2 linked regions of the Drosophila melanogaster genome follow. The protein of the gene in region 1 interacts with the protein of each later gene in a pairwise test. Each region holds a gene or a part of one and is shown on either strand. Other genes may lie near its edges.

The links. Proteins that work in one complex are often made in the same cells at the same time.
Region 2: the proteins of Slip1 (region 1) and CG18336 interact in a two-hybrid assay, tested with the Drosophila melanogaster proteins (one large-scale study listed by BioGRID).

What each region holds. Positions count from the first base shown.
Region 1 is NC_004353.4:661,864-669,629, forward strand, and holds the start of Slip1 (SLo interacting protein 1), read left to right. Parts: upstream 1-1,757; 5' UTR 1,758-1,837; coding exon 1,838-1,879; intron 1,880-1,991; coding exon 1,992-2,477; intron 2,478-3,124; coding exon 3,125-3,442; intron 3,443-4,087; coding exon 4,088-5,069; intron 5,070-6,556; coding exon 6,557-6,711; intron 6,712-7,266; coding exon 7,267-7,587; 3' UTR 7,588-7,766. Other genes in the region: CG46466 (uncharacterized protein), read right to left, coding at 1-110. UniProt on the Drosophila melanogaster protein: May selectively reduce calcium-activated potassium channel (Slo) currents by reducing the number of Slo channels in the plasma membrane.
Region 2 is NT_033778.4:11,293,261-11,296,578, reverse strand, and holds CG18336 (uncharacterized protein), read left to right. Parts: upstream 1-1,992; 5' UTR 1,993-2,313; coding exon 2,314-2,329; intron 2,330-2,390; coding exon 2,391-2,659; 3' UTR 2,660-2,803; downstream 2,804-3,318. Other genes in the region: CG42336 (uncharacterized protein), read left to right, coding at 1,409-1,897.

The DNA of each region.
Region 1 (7,766 bases):
CAAGCGTCTTGGTTGTATGTAGATTTAACTTTATTGAGATCGCAGGTAATTTTTTCGGAAATTGAATTAAGACGTGAGAAGTATGACTGAGCCTCATCGTGTGTTGTCATTTTTGATCTGAAAATAAATATGGTTTGCTGTATTAAATGGTTAGCGGAACGTTAGATTCTATCATAAAATCGAATAATTATATTAACCTGAATTCTTGAAAAAGTATTTATAATTCTTTTATACTCTTCACTCGTAAAGTAAGGGGGTTATTAAAAATTAAAAAAGAACATAACAGGTGAACAAAAAGGTTTCCGAGACTAGTTAATGAACTTCGGGATTTGGACACTATATGATGTCCAAACCGAAAACAAATGCAATAAAAAAGAAATATATAACCTTAGAATCAAATTAGCCCACCTCTCCTTTATTTACATTACTAATTTTTGGTAGCCAGAGGAGTGCTTCCCGACATTACAACATTCATAGGGGCAGACGGAAGTATCAACTCGGATGGGTGTTTCTTTCTAATCTAGACACATACATATGTATGTATATACTACATAGGGTTTATGTGTGTTTAAATTGATATGGGCGTTACAGTTTTGAACGATTTGTAGGTATTTGGTTAAAATTGTTTTTGGCAGTTTTTGGGCGGTTCGTGGTCGTTAGAACAAGCGTGTAAACATTTGGAAACATGTGAGTATAAAATGGGATCGATGCGTTCCTATTACATACATATACTTTCTATGATCGGAGACGGTTTCTTCTACCAATTACATACATTGCAGCGAATCTAATACATATACGATTTTACTTTACAAGTAATGGGTATAATATAGGAAATAAACAAAAATCGGCAAGCCGATTTTTATATGCTTATACTGAATAATATCTATTTATGATCACGAACAGAAAAAATTTGACTTTTCCAAGGCATATGGTCGAAAACTGTTCAATACCGAGATAAAACACTTTCTAACAAAAAAGAAGATATGTATGTATGTTCCCCTTTGTCGAGGTCTTTCTGCCATACATGTAGTATGCATAGTATCGGCAACAGAAAGGCTTTTAGAAAGATTTAGTGAGAAACGGGCGTACGGATATGGCTATGTCCACCTGGCTCTTGACACTTCACATTATTTAGGATATTTTTACTGAAGTTTAAATTTACTATTTAAATAATAAAAATTACTGCGATTTCCCGTTTTAACCATCATACAACCTTAAATACGAATTGATCCGGCTATTTAAGCTCTATATAATTGTATATGTGTATGCTTTAAGAAATACGCATCCATCGATAGATCAAGATAAAAGTATCGGAAATAAATTATTATATTGTGTTCACACAGTTAAGTCACTAAGGCCATTTCCATTTCATTTACATAGCACAAAATTGATACGAAACGACAAGAACTTCAATGACAGGTGCGTATCAAACAATAGTGGTTACAAAAACCATTCTATAGCAACTCTTTTTAGTCAAGGGGCACCTCCGCTTTTCGTGGTTATCAATGCCTAAGCCATTGAAATATTATATTATATTATCAATTTCATTACATCAACTTCAACTTTATATTCAACAATATGAATTGAAAATTGGTACAGTCTGAAAATATGCGTTTATACGAGCGGATAATTTTAATTGCTATGATTTCTCAATCCGTTAACGGTTTCCATTCCGTTGCGAGTTATTAAACGATTACTTAAGAGAATCGATTACAATTTTTATCAAAAAGAATACGTAAATGATATAAATGAAAACAAAAGGTTTGGCCACACTTTCGAAAAAATATGTATACAATTAAATGAAAATAAATATGAGTTTTGGATTTTAAGCATCACTATGAGTATTGCCGACGTGGAGTACGAATATGTTGTGTTAAAAGTAAGTTCAATATAAAGTAGGACTAAGAACCGAGTTCTCGTTTTACCATAAATAGTTCCATTCGTGTGAAATCTGTTTTTTAGCGTTTCAAAATGCACATATTCTGTTTCAGATAAACGGTTACGATATTAGTCATTTGTCGAGGTATGAAGCGGTTCAAAAGTTCCTTCAATCTAAAGAAACCCTTGTCGTAGAAATACGCAGACAGAAACACAATGCATTAGATTTAGAATTAAAACATGGCTCCAATGCCAAAATATCAAAAGTGGACAATCCCGGAGAACTTTCTGTCCTAACTGACAAGTCAGCAGAAGGGACGATCACAGCTGCCAGTGCCTCTCAACAAATAAATTGCCCATCTTCAACATCGTTGAAAGAAATCGAGACGAAAACTCCTGTGGTTTTAACTCTTCGGGCTAGAAGTCATGAGGATCGTTTGGGAAGTCTACAAGCCGCATCGAAGGAAACTCAAACCCAATCTGTCGTTGGTACGGACGTTTTAAAGGATAACGATTTGGTTAACACAATTACCGACAACTTCATAGAGCATGAACACCATTTGTTCGAACAATGCCTGGAACCGGAAATCGACATTGAGGTATTTACCATACATTACTACAGCAGTACCACAAAACTGTTCTGGTCTGTCTTCGCGATGTGCGATGGCGACTTCTCTATACACTTAAGACCCATTCTATGCTTATTTAATGCAAATACAAATTGCGTTTGTATGAGCATTTGTGTAGCGTTTGCTTGGGCTGCGGGCCCACATTCAACCCTTGCCCTTGCGAAGTGCAGAAATTTTAAATGCTCATATTCTCCATATGTACATACATATGTATGTTGCAGTTTTGTTATATTCGTTGAGGAGAGACTATATACCAACACAAGCCATCTGTAGACTTTGAATGATCGAGCGGTCGGACGGGCATAACAGTTATTATTAATATTCACAAAGTTTATTATTAAAATTTTTTGGAGTTGTGTGTACACTGTCACTTGCTAAGTATTTGCACACAATGATATTTAAACAAATTTCGAGAAAGCAAAAAATATCAAATAAAATAAATAAAAATTTTTGGAAGGTATAAGGTGATTGCCTTTTGTACGCCAGTGGTTTATTTACTCTCGCCGTCTACATAAATATTATTGAAACCGATGTATTTATAACAGATCCTAAAACTGTCAGTTGCTTAGATATGTGTGTTGGGATTCAAAATAATAGTATTTTTTTATAATCAACAGGAAGTAACGCTTGTTAAAGGTGTTGAACAGTCAAGCAGCAATCAAATCGGGCTCATTGTTACCTCCTCCGGAATTCAGCAATCAAGTACCGACACGAATAAAGGTGACATACTAGGTAACGTTTTAGAACATAGTGAGGATGTGTTCATCAGTGGTGTACAACCGGAAAGTATAGCCTATCGTGATGGGCGCCTGCGACAGGGGGATCAGATTCTTCGTATTAACGGCTTGGATGTTAAAAACCAGGAGGAGTTAGAAACTCAGATAGCCAGGAGTAGTACATCAGTAACGCTACTAGTTAGTCGAATTCTATACCCTGTAAGTCGAAATTTCTAATACCAAAAAAAAATTCCCAAATAAACACTTAGTTCATAACTATAGTAAGGGGTTATACCACTGTAGAATTTAATACGCTAAAAAATGCGCACCATTAAATTAAAAAAAATATTGTTCGTTCTGGTTTTTAATTTAGATCCGATTTCGACTTGTTGCCTCAGAGTAACCGCCTTCAATCTCGTAACTTAAAATCATGGTTTTGTTTGGAGTATATCTTTATATATATATTTACCTTACGGTCAAATTCGCATACGCTTACTAACGATTTTCCATGAATCCTCAAACTCGTTTTATAAAATATGTGCTTAACCAGGTTAGTAATACTATTAATACCCACATTCCATATAGATGAGATGGGTGTTGGGACTATAAAGTCCATAGCGATATGTATAATATTTGAAAAGTCAATAATGTTAATGGTAAATATTTTTGTGATTGTATTCTTAAAACAGACCGCAGTGGGAGTTGAGAATTTGTAGAAAAATATTATTTATTTATCCAAAATAAGTGCCTACAGTTGTGTGACCCATTGATAACCGATAAAACCATTTTTATTAATCAAAGTATAAAGTTTAAAACTGTAAATATTTTAACTAGCTGCAATATTTTGGAACAAATTTTTTATAGGAAGACGATGATGACGAAGATATACATTTTGAGTATGCTAATACATTTCTGCCAGATGACTATACAAATGTAGTGGATAAATTGGATAAGGTTTTGTTAACTCACGTCAAGTCTTTGGAAGAACTATCCAATAAATCCGCCATGCAATCTGACGAATGCTATCACATACCAGAAAAGAACTCATCTGATTCAAACGTTAAAATATCTTCTTTGGCGAAAAATATCATTGAGCAATCTACCAAGTCCTGTAGTAAAATAAAGCTTCGACCGAATGCAAACTTGGATTATAAAAAAAAATTCAATCTACCTTTAAGCCAAGAAGAAGTTCATCTGCAATATGAGTACGATGAAAGCGAGCACATTTACGAAACCATTCCAGAAGATTCTGAAAGTGAACCAGTGTATTGTTCACCGTACCAACGTTCAAACGACAAGACGTCAATAGGTTGTTCATCTCCAATAGCATCGAGACCGGCCGAATCATTAGAAAGAACAATGCAACAACAAACTCAAAGAGTCGCCCAGTGGTTGGGCTTGAAGCCACAATACCAGAAAACTAGACAAACTCTAGTTGGTCGACCCCCGCCGTTGAAATTAGTACAGCAACCTACTTGTAGTCGTGTTTTTACATTGCGTAGCACCTTAACCAACACAAGCGCATCCAGCAGTAGTGGAGTGGCATACAGCTCTTATGGACAAAATAATGTTGTTACAGGGAACGCCGCGGCTCCTGGCGAAGAGGTCGATAACTCCTCAAGTGCCTACAACACTGGTGATTCTAATAATAGCGCCTCCCCCCATCAAAATACTACAAATCCTGATGAAGCCATCGCCACTGGTCGCAAGCTAGATAGTACTGTTATTGATAGCCCCAATGATCATTTGGATGCCACAGGTGTAAGCACTATGTTGCTATTACCATTCGGCAAGTCTGGCCGTATTGGTCTCTGCTCTTCCAATCTGCCTACAGCGTATGTCAGCGGTATGCATAACAATTATATTTTAGTTGCAGATAGTACGTAGCGTCTGACATATCAGACGTGCTCCACTTTAAAAGCTCTTCACCTTTTACTTTTTAAACTTTGAATTAAATGGTACTAGGCTCGTTAAAAAGCTAGTAAACGGTTGAAGAAAATTTCAAACCCTGTAAAGTATAAATTCTTGATTACTAGACGAGTCTATCTGGTCATGTCCCTCTGTCCTTACGGATGTCGAGATGTCGGTAGATATAAAAGCTAGAAAGTTGAAACTAAAGGCTTATATTTTAACTGGAAAAGTCAATATGTTAATGATAAATATTTTTCCGATTGGATTCAACAAAAAGAGACGCAGTGTAGGTTGAGGAATTGTAGACAAAATATTATTTATCTATCGAAAATAAGTGCCTACAGTTGTGTTAACCATTGAGAATCGATAGAAACCATTTTTATTAATCAAAGTATAAAATTCAAAGGTGTAAATGGTTTAACAAATTTTTATAGGACGACGATGATGTCGAAGATATACATTTTGAGTATGCTAATACATTTTTGCCAGATGACTATACAAATGTAGTGGATGAACTTGATAAGATTTTCTTAACTTACGTCCGCTATTCAATCTGACAAATGCTATCATATACCACCAAAAAAACTCATCTGACTAAAATGTTAAAATATCTTTATTGGCGAAAAATATCATTGAGCAATCTAACAAGTCGTGTAGTAAAATAAAGCTTCGACCGAATGCAAACTTGGATTATAGAAAAAGCTTCAATCAATCTTTAAGCCAAAAATAAGTAAATCTGCAATGTGATTGCGCGCACACCTATGAGGCCATTCCATAAGATTCTGAAAGTGAACCAGTACCAACGTTCAAACAATAAGACGTAAATATATATTATTGATTACTAGACGAGTCTGTCTGGCCATGCCCCTGTGTCCTTAAAAACGTCGAGATCTCGGAAGCTATAAAAGTTATAAAGTTGGGACAGCATGCAGTGATTCTCTCTATCGATATGTCAAAAAATTTGGACCCGCCCATTTTAACGCCATTTTAGAGAATGCTATAGTCAAGTTCCCCGACTATCAGATACCCGTTACTCAGCTAGTGTAAATGCGAACGCGAAATTTCATAATTTGTCTGGGATATCAATAAATATGGGGGAATACAATAAGAAAAAATTTTAAAATTTTTCAAAAGTGTGGGCGTGCATAGACGTTCATGTCCAGAACGACTCGCCTATTGACACTGATCAAGAATATATGTATATACTTTATATGGTTGAAACGCTTTCTTCTACCTGTTAGATACTTTTCTCCACGGGTATAAAACGATTTATCATTTTTGCCTTGATAAAAAAAATTCTGAAGCAATTAACATTTTCAAATTTGTGTAACATTTAACTGAACGTCTTATTATAAGATTTACAAACTGAAAACGATATATCGTGAACTTCATTTAATTACCATTAACATTATTCCACTTCAGAGCGGTATACCAACGTTGGGTCTGAAAATGAAATTCATCCACTTAAAAGCGACATTGAAATACTAAGAGTTAAACCAACTGATGATTCCTATAGTCATTGTCCACAGTTTAACGCCCCAAATTTGAGTAGTTACCACTTTGTTAGTAGTCAAGAGGTAAGTACAAGTTTAATGTATGTGCATATGGGGTAAAATGGTATTAGTAGGGGATTAAAACGAATGGATGACAATGATTTTAACAGTTGACGGTTAAATCTAAGATTTCATTTGAATGTTACACATCTTAATGAATTAAGTATCATCCATTGAAAATATTTTAATAATTTTCTTATAAGTGCATTTACTGAACGTTTTCTATGGGTTTAAAATTTAAAACATGTAAGGATCAACAGGTCAGGAAAATACATATTTTTACCACTATTTACTACTTTATTCAACTTTTTTCTAAGATCATTCCAATAAGAGATCACATGAAAGGAGGTTTTAAATCGATTTTTAGTGAAAAATTATGCATCAAAAAAAGAACAATTCTAAAAACATTGTACATTTTCAATAAAATTCAAAGGGCAAATATACCATATAAGTAGGCTTGCAAATCTATTAAATCTATTAGTATATACATGTATCTCATATTCCATCTCTCTCATATTCCATTGAATATATTTTTTTGCCCATATTCTATAAATAAAAGTTTTGATTACTTTTGTAAAGGTTGCAAACAGATGTCATATTTCAACAAGCTTACAAAAAAATGCTACTTTGCTTAACGGTGAAAGTGCTGAGGAAATACCCATGGTATGGAAGGTTAAAAGGCGACCAGATGGAACGCGGTACATAGTAAAACGGCCAGTACGTAATCGACCCCAAGTTGCATTGCGGAAAAATATGCGTTACAACGAGGTTACCACGACGGAAGACGATACAATATCTGAAGTAAAAATAGGTCGTTATTGGACAAAAGAAGAACGAAAGCGGCATATCGAACGAGCTCGAGAGAAGAGACATCATCAGACGCAGCAACAGCAACAATAGCCACAGTAACATTTTCCTTTTGTACCATTTAAAACTTACATAGCTTTAACAACAGTCTTAAGAACACTAATTGGATTTACTGTCGAACAATTTTATTTGATTGTTATGGTCGTCATCAAAACTTAAAGAGATTATCAAGGTGCAAAAACAAGATTTGTCATAATTCCACTTTAAAATTT
Region 2 (3,318 bases), on another chromosome or scaffold:
ATCAGTTCGCGATGTTCGTCTTGAACAATTCAAACTGTAGACGTTTATATGGTGGCCATCTTGTAACATTGTAGCCATCTATCGCTCGCGAATGGGACGGCACTCTTTACTGGGGTTTTGTCTTTATGTACTCGTGTGTCCGGCACTGATTAGTGGCTCTCCCTTATCGCATATGCACACATATGCTCTCCGCAATGCCAACTTCTTGCGATCACCTTTGAAAATATGCTGACGAAGGCAGGAGGCAAAACGAAAAGCGCAGCGAAAAGTTAACTAGTGGGCATATCTGGGAATAATGAAATACAAGCGACTGATTACACACGAGTGGCGGCTTATAATTATATTGATTTTAATATAAGTTTTAGAGAGACTCATTCAGTCCTCCCAAACAGCAGAAGCCGGAGCACGTAAGCACCGGCGATCTAGCGCCAAAATTAGTTAATATTGGAAAGTGTGCGATTTGGGGGGGATTAAATATCGTAGTTTATGTGATTTGTACAATCGTTATTATCTCTGCATGCCGCGTGTCAAACTTGTGTTATAGATAATCAAAATCCATTTTCGAATTCGATTCGTTTGTTTTGCCACGTTGTTTGTTTCTGTGATTTTGTTTGCCCCCCCAATAGCATGCTGAAATGCAGAAAGTAGAACCATAAACCGAATACCATGATTTCCTATATACCATCCATTCAGACGCGAACCGCTAAAAGCCAAAGAGCCCACAGAACCCAGCCCGTAAATTAAAGCCCCAAACAGAGATTAGATCATGGCTGAGGATCCGGTGAACCAGCAGGCATTCGCTGAGGACGTGGCAGCTGCCGCTGCGGCTGGAGGAGCCGGCGGTTTTGCCGGTCCCGAGCCCGGACATCCCGACTTTAAGATGCCCAGTGCCGAGGAGATCTGGAAGCTGGTCGAGGGCATGGAGGGAATTTCGGACGACGAGCGAGCCGAGCTCCGCGAGAGCATCTTTAACCCGAAGCCGCCGTCGCCGGAGGACTTCATGCGCCAGTACGGGCATCCGGGCCACAGTTCCCGGGAGTACCTGGTGTTCTTCGTGATGCTGGCCCTCATACTCATTGTCTTTGGTAAGCGTCCTCCGGAACGAGCCACTAACGAGTCGTATAACCCTTATCGGGCGCGATATACGCACCCACCTGGGTTTCTGCTTAAAGGGCGATAAGGTTTTAGGAGGCGGCTATGTCGAAGCACTCACTCACTCGCTCACGAGCCACAGCTAGAATGTTTGCTTCGTTTAAAAGCGTTCGATTTTTGATAAGATAACCAGTGGTAAGCGTAGGATCCACCGCAGACATAGGTAGAGTGGAATCCAAAGAGCAGTATTTGCCAGAGACCCATGCCGGGCTGTAGTTGACACACCACTTAGCCCCTTTTCCGAACAACCCAAAACATGAGTTGGTCGGGTTCCAGTGACGAGCTCGGGGTTATTGAGCAGCTGAAAAAGTCCGTGGAGTCGATCGTGGCCAAAACTGGGCCCAGCAGCAAGTTCTCCAAGGATCTCGTCCAGCGGATCGGCGAGATGCAGAGCAAGCTGGAGTCCCTGGCCGAAACGGATCGGCATGTGTTTCTCGCCGAGATGAAGGACAAGTTCCAGCAGACGATTGGCAGAATCGAGGAGCGAATAGTGCAGCACGCCCATTTCGCACAGACCTACTCCAGTTCCATAGTGTCGGCAGTGATCTTTCTCTTGGTCTCCATATTCGGTCTCAGTTCCCTTGATCGCATAATGTATCAACGTCACCTTACTAACCGTCTCCCTTCTTTCCGCATTACAGCTCTCTTTGGCTACAAGCTGTACAAATCCCTGACGGAAAAGGAGCTCAAGAAGCAGGAGAAACTGAAGAGCAAGCAACAGAAGAAGGCCAAGAAGTCAAACTGAAGGAGATGGAGGCGAGGATATCATTGACGTAGTGCACTTTCCGGCCCTGAGACCTTCCATCTTGTTAATCAATACAATCGCCCTGTAAATGACTAAATCATAAACCAGTAAACGTAATAAAATAAAACGTACCCCATAACTCTTTTAAATGCCACGGTAATTGTGTTGTTACGACGAGTCGAATTAATTGCCATTAAAATACGGCATCAGGAAATGCAAATCGGTGTCGTGACCTAACTTGTTGCTGCCATCTAGGCAATCCGTCCAATCCTGGCCTCCGTTGTCATGGGAAACGGGGTCGTTTTGTCGAAGCTTCTCCTGTCAGGCCAGCTATTAATAGTTAAATTCAGTTTCCAGTTACCCAGTTAAGCAGCAACACTCGGAAAGGATCAACAATTTTTGCGGAAATAAAAAACATGTCCTATTCCAGCCGTAAGTTAAAAGCTCAACCATGACTTATCTATTAATCTAATGTGTCAACATGCCCTTCTAGGATTTGGTTTCGACTTCCATCTGCCGGATGAGGGATGGTGCTACCCGAAGAACGACATGCATTTCATCCGCAGCGCGGAATGGGTGCCCGTGGAGAAGGCAGGCGTGGGCCGCTCATTCGCCAATCCCAATGGCGTGATCTATCCGCGGGTGGTAGGCATGATTCCACGCTACGGCGGCCACGTTCCGGGCAACAAATTTCGTGTGGGCAACACCTATGGCCGTTCCACCATCGACGCCAAGCGTCATCTGGCCCTCAATCATGATTGAGGACCGAGTTATCGGAACACTCACTCACCATTAGCCAATCAAATTCGCTGTGTTACGCTTACAGAAGCACCCGAAATAAATCGTATCCAGTAGAAGCCTGTAGAAAATGGCAAATAGAAATAAAATCATACAAATTCAAATGTCCAAGAAAAGCACATTTAATTTATGATGGCTTTTTCGAGCAATAAAATTAATTAAACTTTAGGTCACAAGATAAGAATATATTCGTTATGGTACACAAGGTGCCAAAAACACTTTTCTCCTAACAAATATCAAGAAAAGTAACTATAATTATTGATCGCACGCGAAAAATTTTAAAATAAAATCTCAAAAAGTATTTATTTCATTTATTATTTGACTTTTAGTACATTTATTACAACATTTCTGTAAATGCTTCAATATTTTTTTATAATAATAAATACTTCTTGTTAATTTTCAATATTTTTAGAAATGAAAGGAGTGATATGTATATTTAAACGCCTTATGAGAGTATCAAGTATCAAAAAGGCGCGCAATTTAAATTCTTGCTCCGCTGCAACTGTCTGTATAACAATATTAAAACATCCTTACTTTCCTAGCTTTCTATTACTAATGTACTGTCGGTGCTTGGGGTCATATATTTTTAGATTTTTCATAGGAATTTTCATCTCAGAAAAATT